Drosophila melanogaster: one gene and its partner. Changing the gene in region 2 together with the main gene of any one other region gives a genetic interaction. Each region holds a gene or a part of one and is shown on either strand. Other genes may lie near its edges.

Region 1 (5,736 bases), on a different chromosome or scaffold from region 2:
CGACGTTAGGATCGCGGAAAACTCCGGGGAAAAGAGAATTTCCCTCTACTCACCCGCTCATGTTTCGTGTGTTCTTTGTGGTTTGTGCTCCAACAATGATTTGAGCTTCTAATGTTACAATCTATATATGGCACTGTTAAGCGGCAGCTCGTCGATCGATAGTCGCGCCACAATGTTAGCTATCGATAAGTGCAGAAAAGCTCCACTCGCGAAGCTTTCGCAGGGCGGCAGTTTGACTTTGAACTTCGGAGTTTGAAGCTATCGCCGATCCTTGACCAATTACTGCCGGTTGGTGCTAATTTTGTGAGTGGACTCTAATGAGTACTGCTACTAAATATAGTGCTTCGTAGTGTAACAGTAAATGCAAAGATAGTGTTTTTTCTATTATTACCTCCGAGTACCTATAATGTGGTACTGTAAAAACTGGTATATACTATTTTTTCGGACTATTTTATAAGTAAGTTTTGCCCATTGGTTTCGTGCCAAATATGATGGTCCTTTTTAACTTCACAAGTTAACAAAATTCACTTCTAATGCCATTTCTGTATTATAAGGTTATGAAAATTACACACAAACAAAAAAAATAGAATCTATTAGGTAGAAGCCTTCAGTTAAGCACCTTATAGGGATTGAGGATGCTGTTGGGGTCCAGCAGCTTCTTCATCTCGCGCATGTAGCCAATGGCCACCGGGTCCTTGGAGTAGTGCAGGTAGTCCTTCTTCAGGAAGCCAATGCCGTGCTCCGCACTAATGCTGCCCTTCAGCTTGGAGGTGTACTCGTAGACGAAGGGTTCGACCCGCTTGTAGATCTCGCCGTTAAACTCCTCGCAGGAGACGTTCAGGTGCAGATTAGAGTCCCCCAGATGGCCGTATCCGCAGACAACTGTGGCCAGGGGACCGCACCTCTCTCGCATCACGTCCACAATGTTGTAGAAGTCCCGCAGAGGCAGCGAGATGTCGTACTTGAAGCAGAAGCTCTTCTCGATCAGACCCAGCGGCACCATTTCGCGGATCTTCCAGATCTCCTGCACCTTGCCGGGATCACCGGTTACGGTGCCATCCTGGATCTCGCCACGCTCCATACCGTCCCCAATGAACTGGTTGATCTTCTCCTCGTCGTGGTCACCGTTGCTGCCCGAGGTCTCGATGAGCATGTAGAAGGGAAATCCCGAAATGGGGGAGCTATGGGAAATAAGTTTGTGAACAGGATTGGTAACGCTCAGAGAAGACAAAGGTGGCGCAACTCACTTCAGGAACTTGAACTGCTCGAGGGCGGTGTTCAAGGCCCGCTCGTCAATCAGCTCGCAGGAGCTTAGAATCTCGCCCAGATTACGCTTGGCACTGACAAAAGTCTTCAGCACATCGTCGAAGGAGTTCAGGCCGATGAAGGCCACGTTCACCGCTCGCGAGGAATGGGGGCAGAGCATCGAAAGCTTCGTGACCACGCCCAGAGTGCCCTCGGATCCTATGAACAAGTGCTTCATGTGGTAGCCGGTGTTGTCCTTCTTGAAGTTGGACATAAGGTCCAGCACCTGACCGGTGGCCAGCACCGCCTCCACGCCCAAAACAGAGCCGTGCAGATTGCCGTAACGCACCACCCGCACTCCGCCCGCGTTTGTGGACACATTGCCCCCGATGTGGCAACTGGCCTTGGCGCCCAGGTCCAGTGGCACCGTCAAGCCCACCTCTCTGGCCCTCTGATCGAAGTTCTCCAGGATGCAGCCCGCCTCCACGACAGCAATGCCGGTGACCTCGTCCACGGATAACACCTTGTTCAGGCGCGCTAGAGAAAGGACAATCTCGTCGCAGATCGGCACGGATCCGCCCACTAGACCTGTGTTCCCGCCCTGCGGCACCACCGCCAAACGACGCTCGTTGCAGTACTTCAGGATGGCGGCCACCTCCGCCGTGCTTCCGGGCTTAAGCACCAACTTGCTGTTGCCTGGTTGAAGCAATTCATCGGAGAAATTCATTAAAGGGCACACGAATGTGAATGAATTTGGTTACACAACCTACCTCGAATCCTCTTAAGGAAGCAGATGTTGTATCCCTCCAGGTCCTCAGTGAGCACGAAGTTCTTGCCCAGGAGCTGCTCGAAATGCGCCACATCCTTGTCGGTCAGAGTGGCGTAGTTGCCGCGCTGCACGTTGTCGGTGATCTGAAATGTGGGTTGCATCAGTTGCATCTCCGCTGCGGACAACTCGCCACAGGAACACCTACCTCTGTGAGCTCCGGGATCGGAGCCCCGCTGCCCGCCATTGTGCGCACAGTGGTTGCGAAAGCGGGGTAGGTGGCTGCCAGGGCGGTGCGACTGGTGGTGGTGATGGTGGTGGTGGTGATAGGCCGCCTCATCAAGGTGGTGGCCCCGGCGCTGGCCAATCTGCGCACATGCAGGAGCTGTTGGAATCTCATCGTGGAGGATGGTTGCGGAAAGGGCTTCGAGTTTATCTGTTATATGCCGCAACTGTTATATGTCTCTGAAATGGGCAATGGGATGAGTACACTGTGGAATACCTTTGGGCCATACAAAATTCGTTACTTTATATTAAGCGTTAGGATGCATAAAAAGCGAAGTTATTATTATTATGGAACGGCTCGATAAGCCGACTCTCTTTGTTTAGACACAATGGCAGACTGCCGGACTTCCCCGGAGCACTAGGATGCTTATCACGTTATCACACCAACATTCATCCACTCGAGGGGGGTGTGGACGCAATCTTCTCCTCACCACGGGCCGTATCGCACTGATAGCAGGGACACCAGGAAACCGAACTTTTCCACTAGACCTCTCGGGCTCTAGGTATATCACTATATATGGCGACGTTATCAGCCCCTCCGACTCTGCGCGTGCATGCGAAATTAGCATATTTATTATGGACCACGCACACACACACTCGCACACACGCACACCGCAGCACGGTCTAGATTTGGTCTGGTTTGAAAAGTGCAATCCACGGTCCGTGGAGTCAAGATCTTTATGAGTCCACACAGATTATTGCCGGCAGGTAGATAGATCCCTACACAGAAACGGTCATAAAGCAATTTGGCTCGGGGCCAGATTGGAAGAGATACAGATTCGGATTCGGATACGGATACGGGTACGGGTATATGCATGGATAGATATGCCTGGAGGATTTGCACCACCCGGTTACGGTGGATTAGCCTTCGTGCAAAAATGTATTTGTATTTTGCAACGAACAATATTTCATGTTATGTACATATTTAAGACCAGTAGGCATTAAATTCACTATTGCAATTGTTATATAATCTGGAGCTGCACATACGCAATTTGTTAATTTTCACAGGAGTATTTATAACACCTCCTTCTGTCTATCTCTTACATATTTAAGTTAAGTACTTAATATAAATACTTTAAGTATAATGCATATATGAATATAGTCTTTTAGCGGGTTAATAGCAGTGCCCATCCCTCGTAATCATTATTGAGATCTATGTTTATTCTCACTCGCTCTCTCTTGCTCTGTATTTTTGTCGTTTTGTTTCATTACGTCAAAAAATTCGAGCTTTTGTGTATGTGTGTGTGTGGGGGCGGGTGCGAACGCGTGTTGTCTGTAAACAAGCGAGACAAACAGAAACACTGGGTTAACAGGTAGCTGATAAGCGCGAAAACAATATCAGCATCTGCATACATATATAAACCGGTTGTGAAACGAATATCAGATGTGTCACTGCAGTTACTAAAGGGATTAATTAGGATCCTCATTCACTAACACACGACAAGTAACCGGGAATGGGAGAGCCTCACGCGCCAGAATCTCTCAATGGAAAATTGAAAAACCGAAAGAGAAACTAACGCAGAAGCACTCAAAAGCATGTTGATCGGAACACCAACTGAACTTACAATGTTTATGTACGGATGGATGGGGGTCACGTCGAGGTCCGGCTACTCCTTTCATCCATAAGTCAGTGATGTCCTTCAGAGCAGCGTCCAACCCGGAATCACAACAAACCGCAACTAAAATTCGAAACGCAAAACAGGGGCAGATTAGCGTTAGTTAAGAGATACGATAGGCGCCAAACACCCCCCCCCCCCCCTCCATCAAAGAATTCAAAATGATCACGGAGCGAAAGCTCCCCAGGAGAGAGAGCGAACTGAGCTTTCAGAGCGAAAGCGAGTGAGTGAGCACACCACAGCGGCGTTGTAGAAATTTCAACAGTTCATATTGGGGATCGATTTGTGTTTTACTGTTTCTGTTTACCACTTCTTTATGGATTCGTGAACGGGAAATAACACAATATACTAATACAAAATTTTTTGTTTTTTGGGATGTTTTTTCTATAATTCAATTACTTCTAATAACCGCAAACAAAATCTTAATGCTTTGGGAAATCAAATTGATAAATCTCTGTTTACCTATTGGAATTTGTTATCAACAATTACCATTTACTATTATTATTACTTCTGTGTTTTATTTATGCCTTAGTTGCTTTTCAAAATATAGCTAGCTGCATTGCAAATTCACTGTGTAGAAATGAAAGTCTTAACATCTTTTATATAAAGAGATTATATAAACCGCTAGAATTAGTTTTAAATTTAAGCATATTTAATACATATTTTTATACCGTTTATTCCTAAAATTGCAAACTTGTAATCAAAACCAGTACGGATATCACCTCGCATAACAACTGTTATACAGCCACTTTAATTCACCACACATGCGTTAGCCACGCCCACTGAACCACTAAACATTTAGCTTGTCTCTGTCCTATTCTTCTCCGCAGGCGGCACAATGGTGCTATCTCTTTTGCACCCCATAAAAAACCTTTTCCGGTGGTGCGCCCATTTTTTATTCGCTTCGATCTTCCGTCGGCATTTTGTACTGCCAATTAGCAGCGACTTCTACAATTCAATCAACTTTGTTATTGTACCCAAAGAAAAATGGAGAAGATAACATTCTCATACACTTGTACCTGTTTCGCAACTCGTGAGTTGACTCCAATAATTGCTTCTTGGGTATCGATAAAGTCCCAATAACGATTGCTAATAACTTAAAATTTATAGCTTACAATCATGGAGTTCAATATTTAATTTTGTATCTCATGTTGGGTATGTTTTGATTAATTTGTGTGTCTCCATACCGAAAGGTATTAAGTTAAATGTCTATTGTTCTGTTTAGGATTAGTAAACACTTTCATTTTCCTTACCAGTAAAATTTTCCTAAAACCAGTAATTTAGTTCAGTTATTATGACAGTTTCTTAGGATTTTTCTTCAATACTTCTGAGTATCAAGGTGTGGATCCATTAAATTTAGAACTTCTGCCAAGTAAAACGGACTCTACCCACGCATGGAAATTATAAAATAACGCCAAGTGCTGCATTATATATATTGCAATTAAAACAATGGCAAGCGCAACCACACATCTCTGTTTGAAAATCGTTTGCAAATTTACAGACGGTGACAAAAATATAGGCATATTTTGAAAATGGAGTTATTGCGGTTTAATAGAATACATAAAGAGGACATGATTAGAAGACAATTGAAACGGCAAATAGTCCTATTTGGCTCCCCCTGCCATTTTCAATTCCTACGCTCGTTCACACCCCTAATGATCTTAGGGGTGGGATTACGTGTACACCCCTTGGGACATCAGAATGGATCCCCTTTTGAGGGTAATTGTATAATGTTTGTTTGGGAAATCGGTTTGTACAGGCCACGGAAAATGGTGGAAAGGGGTGGGTTGGTTCCAAAGGTCGCAAGTGTCACAGGAATCAACC
Region 2 (4,951 bases):
TGTGCTCTAACATTCTAAATTCGGCATTTTAAATATTCTAAAAGGTAAGTGGAGCATTTGTTTAGCCTTATATAAACCGGTTCACACTCCACGCCAAACACCCACACTTCCGATCGCATTCCGCCCAGCTATTTACTGCACTCAAAGGCTGACTTGCAATTTATCTGAGCAAATAAAAAATGGTGGATTTCCAGATCGGTTGCAATACGTAAATTTGCCGCAATTCAAGCCTCCTTAATGCAAATAAGTTGCGCATTTTAACTTTATGCATAACCTCTGGCCCAACCTATTTGGGCCCGAACTTTCCCCACCGGTCTGTTTTCATATGCATTTTATTTGTCTGCCGCTGTTTTGTTTTTTTCTTTGCACCGGTTTGCCTCCTCGAAAAAGAGAGATACGGATAAAAAAAGTGTGAAGAGACGACAGTGTGAAAGAGGGGGATATATGTGGAGAGAGAGAGACACGTAACCCATTCGACAGGCCTTTTCACATCCACCTGATTCTCCAGGTGCTGTCCAAAGTTTAATCTTGAATTCGTGTCGACAGTTTTAATTAAACCTATACAATTACTATGCATATCTACAAATAGATGGTTCGAGAAAACCTCCAGATAGCTCGTATCTCATTGGGACTTTTGCATGCACAATTTGGAAATGTTTTTAACTTTCTAAGTTTGTCCTATGTTTTGAGTGCTTAAACAACTTAAACAGTCGACGTTTATTTTTTTCATTTATCAAACTAGAAGTCAGATCTGAATACAATTAATTACTATAATTAGATTATCGTAAACTTATATTTGATAAGGATAGATGGACTCTTTTATTAACTTGTCAGTCGAAAAATTAAAACCATAATTTTATTAGGTTTTCTTTTTTATTTCTAGCGAATTTTGTATTAACAGTTTCATAAAGTTCAAGGGTCAAAAGTCATCATGCAATCTTTTTATTTCAACAATAAATATTTCTGGGACTAGAAAAACACCAGATGAGAAAATATCAGATTAGATCTAGATAATTTATTCGCCCCGTCATTACCAGCTTATTTACCAATCGCAAGTCTTATCAATATCGTACTATGTTCGAATTCTCCCAGTTGGACTAGAAAAAAAAACGCTTGTGAAATTCGTTTGGTGAAAGCATAAATATTGTTATTATATATAATTGTGGGCGTGGCCTCAGCTTATGGCGTGTTCGGCGATCGCGCCACCTCAATATGTTAATTAGGTACACATGTACCTATAAAGACTTAGAGATATTTATATTAAAGTCAGACAATGGATCTATTAAATATGAGAAGAAAAATCCAAAAAAACATCACGCAATTGCTATTTTAATTTGGAAGTAAATGGCATTGACTGAGTAGATAAGAATGGTAGACGTTTCAAGATAATCAGAGCGAGCCTCCTTCGCAACAAAAAAAAAAAAAGATTGGCGCCCAAGTTCAAATATTATCTAAGCTTTAACATGTCAGTTCGACTATCGTTATCGATAGTACCGCACGTACCAGCTGATTTTGAATTCGGGTGAAGTTGAATAAATAAGCTTAATGCCACGCGCTTTTCTAATTTGTATTCCTTATCAAAACAAGTCGGCCGTGAACTTTAAATAAAAGTGGCTAGCCCGCAATAGTGGAAAAGTTTTTCGCCAGCTGATAAACGCAACAGTTGTCATTCGGAAGAGAGGGACAATGCCACCCGCAATGCGAAAGCGATTGACAAGTCAGCCGGCGATAACGATTACATGTTTACGCGTTCGCCGAGTGCTTATTGTTTTTTATACTCTCGTTACATTATTAATTAAAACACTTGCTTTTAAGTGTGCCGAGTGTTGTGAGAGCAGCTTATCAAAGTCCGAGGTTCTAAATCTTATCTGACTGGGCATTTAGAACGTTGTGATTACGCCGATTGCGCAACAATTTGACGATTGTACGCCACCCAAGAGAGTCGGAAACTGTAGCGCTTAACGGCACTTTACAGTTATCAGTTACGGTTAGAGCGCGTCTGACGCCCACAGCATTTAATTTTGCTTTGTCCGAAAATTGTTCTCTTTCCCGGGACTCCAGTGTCATATTGTCTCGTATTGTTTCACATTGGTGACAAACACTATCGTCTCTCGTTTCCAGTCGTCGGTCGGTTCATTCATAATAATAATACCCACATCCACACCAATCCGGTTGTAAAATGTTCGCCCTGCGCCGCACAGCCGCAATGATGACGTCGGTCCACCGGCAGCCGCATCTCAGCCAGGCCGTTTTTCGGGCCAATTTCGCCATCAGCGCCGCGGTAGGTCCTCCTTGTATCCTCGCCCTCTGTCGCTCTAAATCTCTTTGCTTACTAAATTTCGGAATAGGGTGGGTCGATGAGCAGGAGAAAAAGATATTTTGAATTTTTTGAAGTCGGTCTCAATATTAAGATTATAAACAATCACGTAGTCACCTGTGCTGCTAGCATCCGATAAATAGGATTACTATATTTACTGTTTATACAAAAAAATTGAACAATTTTTTCTTAAATTTATAACCTATGAATGCAAAGTAGAGATATTAACTTTTAGGCAAGTACCTTAATAATTACGTCGTCACGACGAAATATTAAATATTACAAAGTAAAGATAAGGGATTACTTTTGAAACACGGTGTATTTTAATTTCCATCCATCAATATCGACCCACCCTATCCCAGGCTGATCAAAGTTTACTTTGCTTTGACCAGTTGTCAGTTTATTATCGTCATACATATAAGTTTCGCCTGTATCGCCTGTGCTTAGGACCCCAAAACCCATAAGATATCCATGGATAATGAAAGGATGTCCGCCGTGAGCGAGGTGAATACCCCAATACCGCAGCATTCAGACACAAATCCATTTTTCATGTAGCTAATAAGATTCCCATCCTGCCCTTCAAGCACTCAAGTGTGGTATGCTCTCCCGAACAGATGGCCCAGAAGATCAAAGCCGGTCCCGTTGTGGATGTCCTCGGTGACGAGATGACCCGCATCATTTGGGACTCCATTAAGAGCCAACTGATTCTGCCCTTCCTGGACATTGAGCTGCATACCTACGATCTTGGTATTGAGAACCGCGATAAAACCGAGGACCAGGTCACCATTGACTGTGCTGAGGCCATCAAGAAGTACAACGTGGGCATCAAGTGCGCCACAATCACTCCCGACGAGAAGCGCGTAGAGGAGTTCAACCTGAAGAAGATGTGGAAGTCGCCCAACGGTACCATCCGTAACATCTTGGGAGGAACCGTCTTCCGTGAGGCAATCATCTGCAAGAACGTGCCCCGTCTGGTGACTGGCTGGCAGAAGCCTATTGTGATCGGTCGCCATGCCCACGCCGATCAGTACAAGGCCGTCGACTACGTGGTTCCCGGACCCGGCAAGCTGACCCTCACCTGGAAGGGAACCGACGGTCAGGTGATCGATGAGGTCATTAATGACTTCAAGGGCCCCGGTATTGCCCTGGGAATGTTCAACACGGACGATTCCATTGTGGACTTTGCCCACGCCTCTTTCAAATATGCTCTGGACCGCAAGCTGCCGCTGTACATGAGCACCAAGAACACCATTCTGAAGAAGTACGATGGACGCTTCAAGGACATATTCGAGGACCTGTACAACAAGCAGTACAAGAAGGAGTACGAGGCGGCGGGCATCTGGTATGAACACCGTCTCATCGACGATATGGTTGCTTATGCCATGAAGTCGGAGGGTGGCTTCGTGTGGGCCTGCAAGAACTACGACGGTGATGTGCAGTCGGACTCCGTTGCCCAGGGCTACGGATCTCTGGGTCTGATGACCTCCGTGCTGCTATGCCCCGATGGCAAGACCGTGGAGGCTGAAGCCGCTCACGGAACGGTGACGCGTCACTTCCGCTTCTACCAGCAGGGCAAGGAGACCTCCACCAACCCCATTGCCTCGATATTCGCCTGGACCCGTGGCCTGCTGCATCGTGCCAAGCTGGACAACAATGAGCCACTGAAGCAGTTCGCCGACACCCTTGAGCAGGTGTGCATCGACACAATTGAGAGCGGCGCCATGACCAAGGATCTGGCCATCTGCATTAAAGGCAACATCAACGCCGTTACTCGCAGGGACTACCAGGAGACTTTTGAGTTCATTAACACGCTGGCCAAGAACCTGGAGGGTGCCCTGGCCAAGAATGCCGTTGCTGCCAAATGACTATCCGGCACTCAGTCCGAGCAGCAGGCCTCGCATCTCTAGAAAACTACTCAGCGATGCCTTGTCCTCGTCACCATATTCACAATATTTCCATTCGTTTTTGTAGATGTGCATGTCCTAGGCTAAAAATCCGTGTCCTCGATGCATGTTTCCCACTGTTTCATTGTCTCTGCGAGACGCAAAAAAAAACCCTGATTTCCCTTTAACGTCTAACGGAAAAGAAATTTCAAATAAATGTATTTTTATACCGGACTCGAGAGGTCTTTAACCCAGTCGAGGGTGGGCTCGTTACGAGGCCCGGTCCACTTGTGCGGCTTCTGATGGCTCTGGGTTTATTGGATTTGCCAGCGAAATGGCCACAGTTGTGTTCTAACACTTGGCGGCACCAGACCGAGACGGTTCAAGCGGAAGGGGCTCAGGATCCTGTTAGAAGGACGAAACTATCGATGCTAGCCGAAGCATTGGGCTATGGCTACCTGCTGGCCTACGTGATCTGCCTGCTCTGCTGGCCAGGAGAGGCGTATCCCGCCAGCAGTAGCTACCGGGATCTGGATATATGCAATCATTGGGACGGAAGACGTCACTTCCTGGAACTGGGAAGTCCAGCTGGAGAGGTGCACGCCAGGAATGTGACTACTACTGCCTATAGAGTAAGTGTATTTACAAGCTTCTCCAGACGGGATTTGGTCAGCAATTATGAACTTAAAAACAGAGCTCGCCGCTGGTTTTTAAGAACGATGCAGTGGCCGGGGATGTGTGGTACCAGTGC

The links. A genetic interaction does not mean that the proteins touch.
Region 1: of Idh (region 2) and D2hgdh, changing one suppresses a phenotype caused by changing the other (phenotypic suppression), as found in Drosophila melanogaster (one study listed by BioGRID).

The regions. Positions count from the first base shown.
Region 1 is NC_004354.4:2,139,732-2,145,467, reverse strand, and holds D2hgdh (D-2-hydroxyglutaric acid dehydrogenase), read right to left. Parts: upstream 3,980-5,736; 5' UTR 3,862-3,979; intron 3,570-3,861; 5' UTR 3,466-3,569; intron 2,782-3,465; exon of another isoform or gene 2,539-2,781; intron 2,477-2,538; 5' UTR 2,412-2,476; coding exon 2,220-2,411; intron 2,158-2,219; coding exon 2,016-2,157; intron 1,942-2,015; coding exon 1,248-1,941; intron 1,182-1,247; coding exon 608-1,181; 3' UTR 531-607; downstream 1-530. Other genes in the region: Pgd (phosphogluconate dehydrogenase), read right to left, coding at 54-61.
Region 2 is NT_037436.4:8,355,886-8,360,836, reverse strand, and holds Idh (isocitrate dehydrogenase), read left to right. Parts: upstream 1-1,896; 5' UTR 1,897-2,179; coding exon 2,180-2,281; intron 2,282-2,711; exon of another isoform or gene 2,712-2,764; coding exon 2,765-2,821; intron 2,822-2,901; coding exon 2,902-4,182; 3' UTR 4,183-4,433; downstream 4,434-4,951. Other genes in the region: Culd (CUB and LDLa domain), read left to right, coding at 4,629-4,832, 4,895-4,951.